3 linked regions of the Schizosaccharomyces pombe genome follow. The protein of the gene in region 1 interacts with the protein of each later gene in a pairwise test. Each region holds a gene or a part of one and is shown on either strand. Other genes may lie near its edges.

Region 1 (3,467 bases):
AATATTTATTTGAAATAAAAAAAAAATCCTAAGGTTGCAACAAGCAAAAAAATCTAGAGCCTAAATTACCCAATAAATACAATAATGACCGAATCGAAATAAAAGATTAATACACAGACACCTGGCTAATAATTTCACCGCCTAAAATTTTGTTGACCCAATTTGGTATCCATGGTCGCCTGTGTTAACAAGCAAAAAACAAACTGTTACATGATGGCACAACATGTTTTTAGACGAGGAAAACAATTCGTAGCAATTTCTTCAACAATTTTTTCAGGCTCAACTTGATCAGTCAAAGTTGAATGTTGAGGACGAGAATATGCTTCTTGAGGTTCTTGAATGCAATTGAAATTTGGTTGAATAGGTGAAGTCGCAGATGGTAAATAAACATAAATGCGGCCTTCATTTACTTCACTGTTGTATTTTATAGATTGCTGCTCAAGCATTCGCACAATTGCAGGTCGTAGTTTTTCCACATGATTAGCACTGTGATTACCGCGCCCAACTATACTAAAAAAGAGTTAATTTTAATTAAGCGTAAAACATACATATGTAAATGATTGTCACCACGTCGGATGCAATTCTCAATTCGCTGTTGTACTGCTTGTACAGCTTCATCGATGTACAGACCATGTAAATCAATTTCATCGGGATTGCATTGAGAGTTTTTATATAAATAAATGGCTGAAGCCGCTATCAATAATTAGCACAGTCATAAAACACTTCTATTTTGTTTTCTCGAAGCCAATATGGGTTTGAAGAAACCCAGTGTTTTAAGTTCTATAAAGAAGCCAACCCATTTTTCTCTTAAATCACATGGCTTTATTCAGCTGTTTCAGAGCTCTTCACTTTGTACAAAGAATAGTTCATTGTCATAACTACTATTGTTTGGCGTATTGTCTGACCGATAACTACCGGAATTAGATACCAAACAAAAAGAGTGGAAAAGAAAGAAAGAAAAATCTCATGATGGGTTTGTTTTTCTATTATTGAAAGTTTATAGGGTTTGAACTAACAATCACAGCTTTTAATGAGAATTTGAGATTACCTTGTCGATTATAATTTTCCATACGCTCTCCACATAACTTTCCTTCTTGGCTTAGTTCATGCGCTTTAGCCTTGTTTCCTGCTGAATAGGCATGCTGAGCTTCTTGAAATAAATACCCTCGTTTTTCAGCCTCTTTTGACGCCAACGCTCTAAACTTTTCATACTTCAATAAAGTTAGTTACACCTAATTTCTCCTTATCTCTTTGATTAATAATTACCTCCTCCATTTCTATTGTTTCAGGTGTGGTACTAGACAATGAAGTTAACAATAGGAAATCTGAACAATGGAGTACCACAAAAAATGTTATATAATTCAGCTAGATCTCTGACAAAGATGAAAAATAATTTTTAAGAACTGTCTAAACAATAGTAAATCCTTTTGTTTTTTGTTTCGAATCTGTTTAAACTACAATTTTGCAATTGTTCGAACAGCATTCCATTGGTGTGTTTTGAGTCCATATATTTGGAAATTTGCTGTATATCTTCAAGCGAAAATTTAACTTTTGAGACATAGAAGTGTTTTCTGGAAATTCTAAACAAAGAGGAATTATTGGCATAACAGTTCATTGGGAAACTGAGTCATCAAGTGCTTTACAAATCACATTTTTAAACTTCTTAAACTAAAAAAATCTCGGGTTTATATTGTTCTTGCTCCCTCTGACATTATGAGACAACCATGGTGGAAAGACTTTACTATTCCCGATGCATCCGCAATTATTCACCAAAATATTACCATTGTCTCTATTGTAGGAGAGATTGAAGTGCCAGTTTCAACAATTGATGCATATGAAAGAGATAGACTTTTAACTGGAATGACTTTGTCTGCCCAACTTGCTTTAGGAGTCCTTACCATTTTGATGGTTTGTCTATTGTCATCATCCGAAAAACGAAAACACCCAGTTTTTGTTTTTAATTCGGCAAGTATTGTTGCAATGTGTCTTCGGGCCATTTTGAATATAGTGACCATATGCAGCAATAGCTACAGTATCCTGGTTAATTACGGGTTTATCTTAAACATGGTTCATATGTATGTCCATGTGTTTAATATTTTAATTTTGTTGCTTGCACCGGTCATCATTTTTACTGCTGAGATGAGCATGATGATTCAAGTTCGTATAATTTGTGCACATGATAGAAAGACACAAAGGATAATGACTGTTATTAGTGCCTGCTTAACTGTTTTGGTTCTCGCATTTTGGATTACTAACATGTGTCAACAGATTCAGTATCTGTTATGGTTAACTCCACTTAGCAGCAAGACCATTGTTGGATACTCTTGGCCCTACTTTATTGCTAAAATACTTTTTGCTTTTAGCATTATTTTTCACAGTGGTGTTTTTTCATACAAACTCTTTCGTGCCATATTAATACGGAAAAAAATTGGGCAATTTCCATTTGGTCCGATGCAGTGTATTTTAGTTATTAGCTGCCAATGTCTTATTGTTCCAGCTACCTTTACTATAATAGATAGTTTTATCCATACGTATGATGGCTTTAGCTCTATGACTCAATGTCTGCTAATCATTTCTCTTCCTCTTTCGAGTTTATGGGCGTCTAGTACAGCTCTGAAATTGCAAAGCATGAAAACTTCATCTGCGCAAGGAGAAACCACCGAGGTTTCGATTAGAGTTGATAGAACGTTTGATATCAAACATACTCCCAGTGACGATTATTCGATTTCTGATGAATCTGAAACTAAAAAGTGGACGTAACTTACGCCTGAATGTATCTTTTTTGATAATTCCTAATACTGGCTCAATAACAGTCCCAAATAACATAGACGGTTTTTTTACGATAGGCTTGTAATCATAATTTGCTCAGAGGGAAGTTTTCTAATGGTTTTTTTTTTTTCGCTTCATGAACAATTGTTTACTATAAACATCAATGAAATTATATGATTATAATAACTTATTATCATGAAAACTTCAAGTCGTACTTCACAAACACTTATTAAAACAATAGTGAATGAACTGCCTTCGTAATCTATAATGAACTATAATGTTTTGAGTCTCCAAGTGCTTACCTTACGAACTTTTTTTTTTATTTAAAGCTTCTTGTACCGTAGAAGCCATATCATTCATCGAAGAAGCTAATTCCTTTCTAAGCATCGTTTGCTTTTGTACTTTGGCCGATTGCATTAGCAGTTCTTCCAGACGTGATTTAAACGTTTCCACTATATACACGTAAGTATTGAGCTATTAAATAAAAATTATAACCAACCTGCTGACAATAAAATGTATTTATCCTCCATTTATTTTTATCAAATATTGTATCGAAATGTTTTAGCTGCGAAACGTTACACTCCTTAATTTAGTAATAGCAATATAATAAGGATCTTTAAACCGATATGTGTTATTCTCAAATTGCATTGCTCCACTTATTTCAGTAAACAGATGACAAATATTCAATAATGGTATAT
Region 2 (4,702 bases), on another chromosome or scaffold:
TCATCATGACTAGGTTTCGCAACATGATATACAATAGATTCGACTTGACGCAAACCAATTCGAATTAGCTTTGGATTCCTCATACACAAATGCTGTTTAGCATTGTTTAATAGATCTTCCATACCGGATCATTATTTACTCATGCCAAGCGGGCAATAAAAATCCTTATTATAAATAAAAGTAAATTGAATCTTCGTTTAGTTAAAGATAAAAAAGAGACTCTATATTCGTTCTTAGTAATGATATAAATAGTAGGGTGGAGTGTTGAAGCAGCTACATTAAATTGCTATTTTCTAAAACTTGAGGTTTTGGGAGAGAAAACACCAGCTTGCTAAGATAGGATACAATTGAATATTAACAGGCGAATTGGAGCCATATTTGAAAAAGGGGCCTAAAATAACAAAACAAGCAACATCGAGTCCTTATAGATTTATATTTAGTTTACGATCAAATCCGCCTAATTTAATTATATTAATATCAATGGGTTTAGTTTGTCTCAAACGGTTGACATGAAAAAATTTAGATATTAAATTAAACAATAGTTATGTATTAATCGTAAAATTATCAAATAACAAAAACTGCAGTTAATTTTGAGCTATTTAAAACAATATAAGATTACACGAAGCTTCGAAGAAGCTATGAAATAAAACAATTAGAATGCACTAATTAACAGTTTCGATGGAGAAATAACACATGAAGTGCATACAAAATGCAAGGAAATTAACTAGAGACACCATTCACGGAAAAGTATAGAGGCTTTTCCTAGAGTGCGAATGAAAGTAGAGAAATGAGACAGAAAAGATTATGAAGATAGTTAAGGAAAAATTCATCTAAAACATAAGTGACTGTAGATTGTTGGACATAATCGTATCTTGAACGGATACCATTACCCTTTGGAGCAAACTAGTGTCTGTAGCTGTGGTAAAATGGCAATAGCAACTACGAGAAGCGATGCGATTAAGACTTTCAAACTTTAAGTAAAAGTAATACATACCGCTTCGAACTGCGTTGTCGGCAAGAGGGCATTGAGTTTGTACGAATGTTGGTGTTGAACCAACTTCTTGGTAATCAGGAAAATGCTTCTGGATGGGGGAAATGTGAACCTTTCTTTTAAATAAATCAAGTTTATTTAGAAAAAGTATCATTGCTGATTCTGAAAACCAGCTAGAGTTACATATGGAATCCCATAATAATAACGCCTCCTGCATCTGATTTCCTGAATTGTCCTCTACAAGGCATTGATCGTAACCTGCCAAAGAAACGAGAAACAACAATGCAGTGACATTTTCAAAGCAATGAATCCATTTTCTGCGCTCTGATCTCTGTCCTCCTACATCAAAAAATCGGTAATGATGACGATTTAACAGAAATGTTTCTTCTGATATACCGGTCGTCTTGATACGACAGTGAAGGATATCTTGATCAGAAGGTATATATTGTGGGTCAAAAATTCGATCAATGTGATCTTGATAGTAATAAAAATTGTCTAACAAAGAGAGGTTGGTACCACAACTTTGCACCGTACGAAGTTTGGTATCCAATGTCAAGGCATGAACAGCTTCATATATTTCTGGAGAAAATGGCTCATTGGGTTGAGAAGTGTGTTTTCTTAGGATAACTGCCCGATACTTCTCATTTTCCGGAAGTAAAGAGACATTACTATTATCCATAGCTTCAAGAAGAAGACATAGAGAGGAGATGATATTTTCAAAAATCATCACTCGATACTGCTTTCTAACTACTTGACTAAAACCGGGGCTATACAATAATCTCATCTGCTTCATAATGGTCGTTTTCCCACTATCACCGGCGCCTAAGAGCAAAACTTTAATGTCATTTCCACCTGAAGTAGAATTTCCTTTTACGCGTACTCCAGAACTTTCCACATTTTGTGGTTTTCCACGCAGGACGATATTAAGCCAGTTTTCAAGGACTGGAACTCGAGCGTTTTGACTTCCAGTTGTAGAGCTGTTTGAGGTTTGCGTATCTGAAAGCTTCTTTTGAATGACTTCTCCTCCTGATGTATCAGCGTATTTACTCGACATGCATCCCATGGTGAAAAGGCAGCTACAGATTCCAAATCCCCACAAGGAGATAATTCAAAGTCGAGACAAAGAAAGTTAATCTCCGCAATTTTCTGTAAAAACAGCAGAAAAGGTGATAAATAAGGATTTTTGGATTAAAAAAGAAATAATAGATGTCGTTAAATCTCAAATATTTGTGAAGTGGACCCAACTATAAGCAAAAAACCCAATTGCCAGATAATTCCAAGAGATCCAAAAGAATACTATTATATAGTAAAAAGAAACTATTATTTAAACAATTTGGTTAAAAAAACCAGGAGGATTCTTTGAGAAAAATCGTGTAATGACACAAACAAACTTTGGTATTCGTAAACAGTCAAATTTATTATACTATCACGGTTGCGATAAGGTATTAGATGAAATTAAATCAAGAACTGTTTAATTTTTGAATGAGAAATCAGTGGATCAACTCCTTTAATGTAAACAAAGCAACCCAAAAAACAAAATTGCGTACAATTTACAAAGAAACCAGGGTTTTAATGAGCAGCAATGGTCTCCAACTATAAAGGGAGTTACAAATACCTGTTCTCCTTTAATACTTCCTAAATGGATACTAAGATTGCTAAGCCGTCAAAGAAGTTGAGATGTTGAAAAAGGTAACTACAATGCGTGTACACTATCAGGTGGTAAGCGAGCTATTAGAATTCGTAAGAATGAAACAATTACAGAAACAAAGGCTTTTTACTTATTGGAAAAGTGAAATCGTTATACTTTCACTGGTACGTGCTTATAGTGTCTTGTCGATTTTAACAGAATATTTTTTTGTATGTCTAGTGATCCAACGGACCTGGCAAATGTCAACAGTCCGAATAAAAGAAGTTTCTACAACAAAGACCTTATCTAAAAAGTTAAGTTGATAGTACTTCGGTGTATTTACATCTGCATTTTTCTCTAAGAGCAACATCCTCACAATATGTGCCCGCTTTCAATGCTATAGTGCGAATTTGGAAGAATGGGGAGGATGAAAATGTACAAATATTTGACAGTATGAACTTCAACATCATTTATTAATAGGATTCAGAATGAACAGTAGCAAGTATCTCTTTTACTCTGCGTACCGATTCAAATCTTAATACAACAAATGCGTGTATGTAGTATGTGTTAATACTACACAACAATCCAACTATTTTGAGCGAAGTAACGCTAAATTTACAAAGAGAGTTACAAACTGATACGTTCATACATGCTTATTTAAGTGTTCGATGTCGCAAAAATGAACGTTTGCTAGTTAAAGAGTTTTGATACATGTTGGGGTTAAGCAAATGTTGGCATATATAGTTGTAATCTGTCATGGTGCCACTGCCGTTTGAGCAAGTTCATCTTCGATTCTTAAAGTCTTATCGTTTAATATCGGTTTTCTTGCTTTTTCCAAATTCCAAACACCTGTGTATTTCAAAACATCTTTCTTTTCTATTTGTAAAGGCAAACTTGTTGCTTGTCATTTTGTGGCACTGCAGGTTTTGAGTAATTTTGGACAAGAACCACCTATTCTAGATTTTTAAAAACAAATATATAGGTGGATAGTCATAATAGTTCATTTTTAATTAATGAATGTATTTGATAAATAAAAGTAAACGGTTTAAAGACGCTCCTGTTGTGACGGCGTTCATTTAAATGTTTCATTTCGAGATATATTCGGGTGCGTTTTCTTGTTATTATGTCTACATGAGTCTTCTTCTGCATGCGGTTAAGTATTTCTAATTAATTAGTTTAATACCTTTACTTCTGGTAAACTTGAAATTTATCGAGGCAATACTGGATTGACTTGCTTTGCCAGACAGATCAACGAGCCATTACTTGAGTGAAGCAATAGTCAATGAATAAATACTAAAAATGCAAACATTTGAAGTTTATTAATGGATTGAAGATTCTAAACAATATTATTATTGGATTAAGCCGTACTCAAAAATTGAGTTGAAAAAGTATCAAATTCTTGCGCCTTTTCATTTAAATGATCGTTCAACTTCAGTGTAGAAGAATTTGTAAAAGATGAAAGTATATTCTTGGCTTGAGAAGGAGCATCAGGGCCTAAATCCGTGATTGCAGTAGTCATATTTGATAGTGCCTCCTCGTAATTTGGTTGAGAATCGAGGGCAGTTTTCAGCGAGCTCAAAGCCTCTTCAGGTCTCAACAAGCATATGTCTGCACACGCCATACCAGTTAAAGTCATTGGATTGCTATCAGTTCCGTTTAACTCTTCAAAAACATAAAATGCATCATTATAGGATTCGACGCCTCCACTAACTATTTTAATCCAAGATTGTGCCAGCTGTAGTACAATTTCTTCATCAGCCCAATCCAAAGCCTGTTTCAATGTCTGTTCAGCAGCTTCAATTTTGTGCTCTCGTAAATGAATGTATACTTGAAGCGCCACCGCCTCCAAGTTCTCTACTGACTTCTTTAATAAATCCATTGCATCATCAAAAGAACCATTTTTAATTTGAAAAATAGCTCCTAATGTTTGTACCACACTGTCTGAATTGCCATGCTGGTCAATAATTAACTCCATGTTCCCCTCCCCAGCCAGCGCCAGAATAGCAGCTGATCCAGGCGTTTTTTGAGTTAAAATACTTTGGATTGATTCTAAACTTTCACCTAAAGCTAATTTTGCCCTTGCC
Region 3 (4,543 bases), 4.1 Mb from region 1:
TGAAAAATTAAAATGTAAAATAAAATACTTTTCAAGTCACTAAATACCGGTTTCAATTGGGTAGGAGAATTCAAGAAAGGAAAAAAGATCTGGTCCCACCATTCACCAACTGCTTGGCGATCCAAAATCAACAACGGTATAACCGTTTTCAACACAGCTAGCCATAGTATCCGTCGCCTTGTATTATTGAACGGCGTCTTTTCGTAGATCTCGTCCAAGATGTGTCTTATTTTTTGTGAGTTAGTGGGGTTTTGTTTGGGATAACGCTGCTGATACGACTCAACTTCCGCAATTAACTCAGTCAAATCGGGATAGCCTTCCGATTCTTCTTCATGAAGGACGTTCCATAATGCTTTGACTAGCGATTGCAGCGGCATTCGTACAAAGTTGGCAAAGTCAACGTTGATATACAACTATGCGACATTATACTGATAGCAAGTCTTGGCAGCATTGATAAACGTAACGAGGATAGCGTAGTCTGCCACATTTTTTTAATTAGTCTTTGCATTTTCAACCAAATTATACAGCGCTATCCAAAAATCCTTTAACTAGATTACATGTCAACCATACAGGTCGTAATTCGTTTTTAAGATACGATAGTACTGCAATGATATTTTTTAGTGTAATGTACATAGTATAATAAATTTATTGTAAATAGTTATAAATATCCTAAAATACTCGTTAAGAATACCAAGAAGTATTTATAATTACACTTATATAGCTAAAAATTGAATTGAGGAACGTTGTTTTAAACAAGCTTTATTTGAAGGAATCATAAGTAGTAAAGTAAGTTGTAATTTTTATCCAAATTATGTAAACATCATCTATACCATGGTACTTGATCCATCTCCAAAATTTAAAGAATGTATTAAGTATTGATTTCTAGGACTATACAGTATAGTAGGCAGTGTTCGCATTTTCAGCACAGAGGAAATACGAAAGCAAACAATGCGAAAACACATTGAGAGTTCTCTGAATAAACATGTAAAAATAAAAAGAAAACGGTTTTACTATTAAGGATTCCTAGGGAACTTTTCTTTCAAAGGAAGTTAGAGGGCAAATAATTTGAGTCGGTCTAATATTATGGTAACATATTCAAGCACTTTTAACGACATACTCTTAACTGCTATGTTATTCCACAGTGTGTTACAGTCACTTAGAGAGAAAATATTTCATTAATAAAAAAAAACTTTTATAGGGCAGGTGTAAGAAGCGTTGCAAGGCGCAAAGTAGAAAAGAATATAGTCATGGAAAAGGGAAAGCCGGTGCTTGTAAATAATTACAAACACCAATATTTTTTAATTTATATCTTAAAGTCTTCCAAGTTGGCGATGTAAAGTTTCATAACAAAAGCCATTTCATTTTCATTGCATATTTTGGGGTCATTTCAGTACCCAATGGAACTAACAGGAGAGATGCAGTGAACAACTAAGAAGTATCAAAATATCTGTAACTGTTTATAATCCTTTTTTGCTTACTTCTTTTACTTTTTGTTTTTCCCCAGTCTCCAGGAGTGCTGGGTAAGCTTTATTTACCAACCATCTGTGAATTATCCAGCCATAGCATATCTCCTTCTACTAGTTTATATAATATTTCCTTTCAAAAAATAGGCAAGCGACTGCATATCCTTGTTTAAATGTCTTATTTTGATTCTTTTTTTATTATTATTCAATCGGTGTTATCACATGAAATTTACCGATTCATTAAAACCCCTTTCGGAATAAGTTGACGAAAGGTGGAAATTGCTACCTGTTTTCTTTGTTCTGCTTTCTCACTGTTAATTTGTTGGGGTAAACAAATCAATTGCACAATGTTCTTTGTTCCGTTAAAGTTCCCATTGTTCGCCATTTAATGATTTCTTTGTTTAAAAGAAAGCGTATAGCAATGGTTAGATGGGAAACTTCGAAGTATAAATACTAAGGCATTTCCCGAATTTTCATCAGTGTGCCTATATCGACGTTTACAAAATTGCTCCAATCCTTCATTCGATTTTAAATTTAATAGGGATCAGACCTATTGAAAACAGCTGGAGACCTGATTTAGTATCGAATTACCCGTAATTGATTATAAAAATTGACGGTAATCAAGAAAGTGGGACTATTACTATATATTTAAATTTCTTTTATCTTATTTGAGTTCTGTACTTCTCTTTTATCTTTTAAAAAAATAAAAGAAACAATATTTAACACTCCATTGTGCTTGGCTGCCCGATCTCTGTCGCTTTTTCGCTTAGCAAGATCACAATTCTTTTGTTCATCACTTTATTATTTATGATAAAAGGCTACAAATTCGTAAAAGTAAGAATCAGCTTTGGATGCCCGCCCTTCATAACCCTTCTTCACCACCGCCCAGTTATGAAGCTGTTACGTCTTATCGCAACGGAAATTCAATAGATTCCGGCGATAAACGTCAACAATGTTCTCGATTAATGAAAATTACCTCTAATGGTAGACCCTATAGCAAGGACTTTTTGGAGCTCTTCTCGACGATGGTAATTTCTACGAATTTTTCTCGGAACAGGTACAGATTCTCATATGTGGAAAACTCTTGTACCTTATTGCAATTGCTTTCAACATTGGAAAATCTTCAGCTGAGTCAGGTAAACCGCATTAAAAGTAGATGCGGCAGTAAAGTCTTAAAGTCTACTACCAAATTTACGATACCTAAGACTGCTGCTAAATGTTTATGTAATACATTTTTAAATGCTCGTTTGCTGCAAATTGTAAATAACCCATCGGCTAGAAAATTTTCAAACGAAAAATGTCTTCTTCAACTTACAAGGAAAGGTTACTCTGTTGTTAGTGAGTTTCTACAACATAACGGACATAATTCTCAAGCCGAGCTTTACGCTTCCAAATGGAATCATTCTGCGCCCGTCATTGTTTCCATTTCGCGCTTTTCAAGTACCGATCAAATACTTAAGGATTCTTCTTTTTGTGAAATGTTGCTGGTACGTATGCTTGGAAGCGTCCATGAAATTGGGAAATCTAAAAACCCTCTTCTGGTACCCGTTTACTCCGTTTCAAGTCCCTCTCCAAAAGACTCCTTAAGCAAAGTCACCAAATACCAAATGTTTGGCATTGACATAGCTGAATGGCTTATGTGTAACACTATGCTCCTAGACTGGTCGGAAATGGAAACTGTTGCTAGCGATTTGTTAATTCATTCATACATTGCTTACGAAAATAATTCCGAGACTCCTTTAAAGTTTAGCTATGCAAAGGGTGTTTCCTATTTTTTGACTGGAAAGGGAATTGCGACTCTAGGATGGACTAAAAATGTCTCCAATAATAAATTAATTAATAAAATAAATGAAGTCGAAAAAGGATCCACCAATAAGGAAATCCTGGAAACCATTCTTAGAAAGCCGAATCTACAAACCTATTTCTTTGAATTTCTGAAAAAAAATTTTTGTGACGAAAATCAACGATTCTATTCTGAAGTTTGCGAATTTAATGACTATTTTTCTCATGCTAATGAAACTAATGATCATGAAGCAATTCGCGAAAGTTTTGCTCATGCATGCGGTATTTACAATTGCTTTCTTTCATCTAATGCACCTAACGCCGTCAATCTTCCCAGTGATCTTTATGAAAAAATAACCAACCATATGGCCTTAGCCATGGAAGTTGAACCCCTAAATGAATGGCTCCAGTTAATTCACATTCTTTTATTAGAGGCGCAAACAGCCGTATTAGACCTGATGGCCGGCGATTCCTTATTGAAATTTCTTGAATTGAATGGGGGGCTCGGTATTTAATGCATAGAAAACAATCGTGTTTTAAATCATTCATTAGCAGTTCCTCTTGTTTTTGTACATATTTCTTATTTGCATTATTATTTTTATTTTATCTCATTACGTGTCTATTACTGATCCTTTCCATCGCTATGCTCTGATGCTTCCGTTTTCTCGAACAAGAATCATATGCTTATGTTTCAAGGATGAACTTATAAGGCTATAAATGCTTTGCTAACATATTTGCTAACTGAGTAGAGAAAATCCGAAATGAATATATGAATTAAGCATTATTATTTTCGGTGAACATTTGAATATCGAGATGATAAATCTTGTAACTATGATCTATATAAAGATCCGAACACTTAAACGAAAATCGAATTTGAAATTAACTGGCTTAATTAAAATTTCAACCTCTTTTAAACTCTTTTTCGCCAGAAGCTTCAAACACTGAACTAACCCTCATCAAAAGAAATTGAATTTAAATAAAGTTGACAACGCCTAAAGAACATAGTCATTAACCAGCATCAGCACAATAATTTTTCATTAAATTATGAGCAATAAAATCGAGTTTAAGTGTTTACTCTACTTTTACATTTAGCTAAGGCTATATAATTTGGACAACGTATGCCATAGTAATATTTTTGAAGGTCTCAGGGTTTCTCAATTTATTTGTGTTAACCAAAAATTATGAAAATATTTAGTTGATAATCATTTATAAACCTTGTTTTTTTCACCAGATTTCTATGTTCTTGAATGGGATTAGAATCCACAGGTTACTTAATTCTGAAAATTATAGACTGAAAA

Evidence for each region.
Region 2: the proteins of mam2 (region 1) and gpa1 interact in a two-hybrid assay, tested with the Schizosaccharomyces pombe proteins (2 studies listed by BioGRID, with this or other methods).
Region 3: the proteins of mam2 (region 1) and rgs1 interact in a two-hybrid assay, tested with the Schizosaccharomyces pombe proteins (one study listed by BioGRID).

The regions. Positions count from the first base shown.
Region 1 is NC_003424.3:4,778,975-4,782,441, forward strand, and holds mam2 (pheromone p-factor receptor Mam2), read left to right. Parts: upstream 1-1,713; coding exon 1,714-2,760; 3' UTR 2,761-2,948; downstream 2,949-3,467. Other genes in the region: SPOM_SPAC11H11.03C (uncharacterized protein), read right to left, coding at 207-510, 549-693, 1,049-1,211, 1,267-1,275; protein Fta6, read right to left, coding at 3,073-3,221, 3,269-3,299. UniProt on the Schizosaccharomyces pombe protein: Receptor for the peptide pheromone P-factor, a mating factor of S.pombe. Pheromone signaling is essential for initiation of meiosis in S.pombe; P-factor signaling alone may be sufficient.
Region 2 is NC_003423.3:2,327,690-2,332,391, reverse strand, and holds gpa1 (G-protein alpha subunit), read right to left. Parts: upstream 2,683-4,702; 5' UTR 2,055-2,682; coding exon 831-2,054; 3' UTR 502-830; downstream 1-501. Other genes in the region: SIN component Cdc14, read right to left, coding at 1-122; sec28 (coatomer epsilon subunit protein), read right to left, coding at 3,976-4,702. UniProt on the Schizosaccharomyces pombe protein: Implicated in the mating and sporulation pathway. Probably coupled to mating-factor receptors. May act in concert with Ras1.
Region 3 is NC_003424.3:677,862-682,404, forward strand, and holds rgs1 (G-protein-signaling regulator Rgs1), read left to right. Parts: upstream 1-1,941; 5' UTR 1,942-2,314; coding exon 2,315-3,760; 3' UTR 3,761-4,029; downstream 4,030-4,543. Other genes in the region: Rheb GAP, hamartin Tsc1, read right to left, coding at 1-377. UniProt on the Schizosaccharomyces pombe protein: Negatively regulates pheromone signaling during mating. Acts in a negative feedback loop that is essential for the mating process. This loop acts to down-regulate cellular sensitivity to pheromone. Activated by ste11.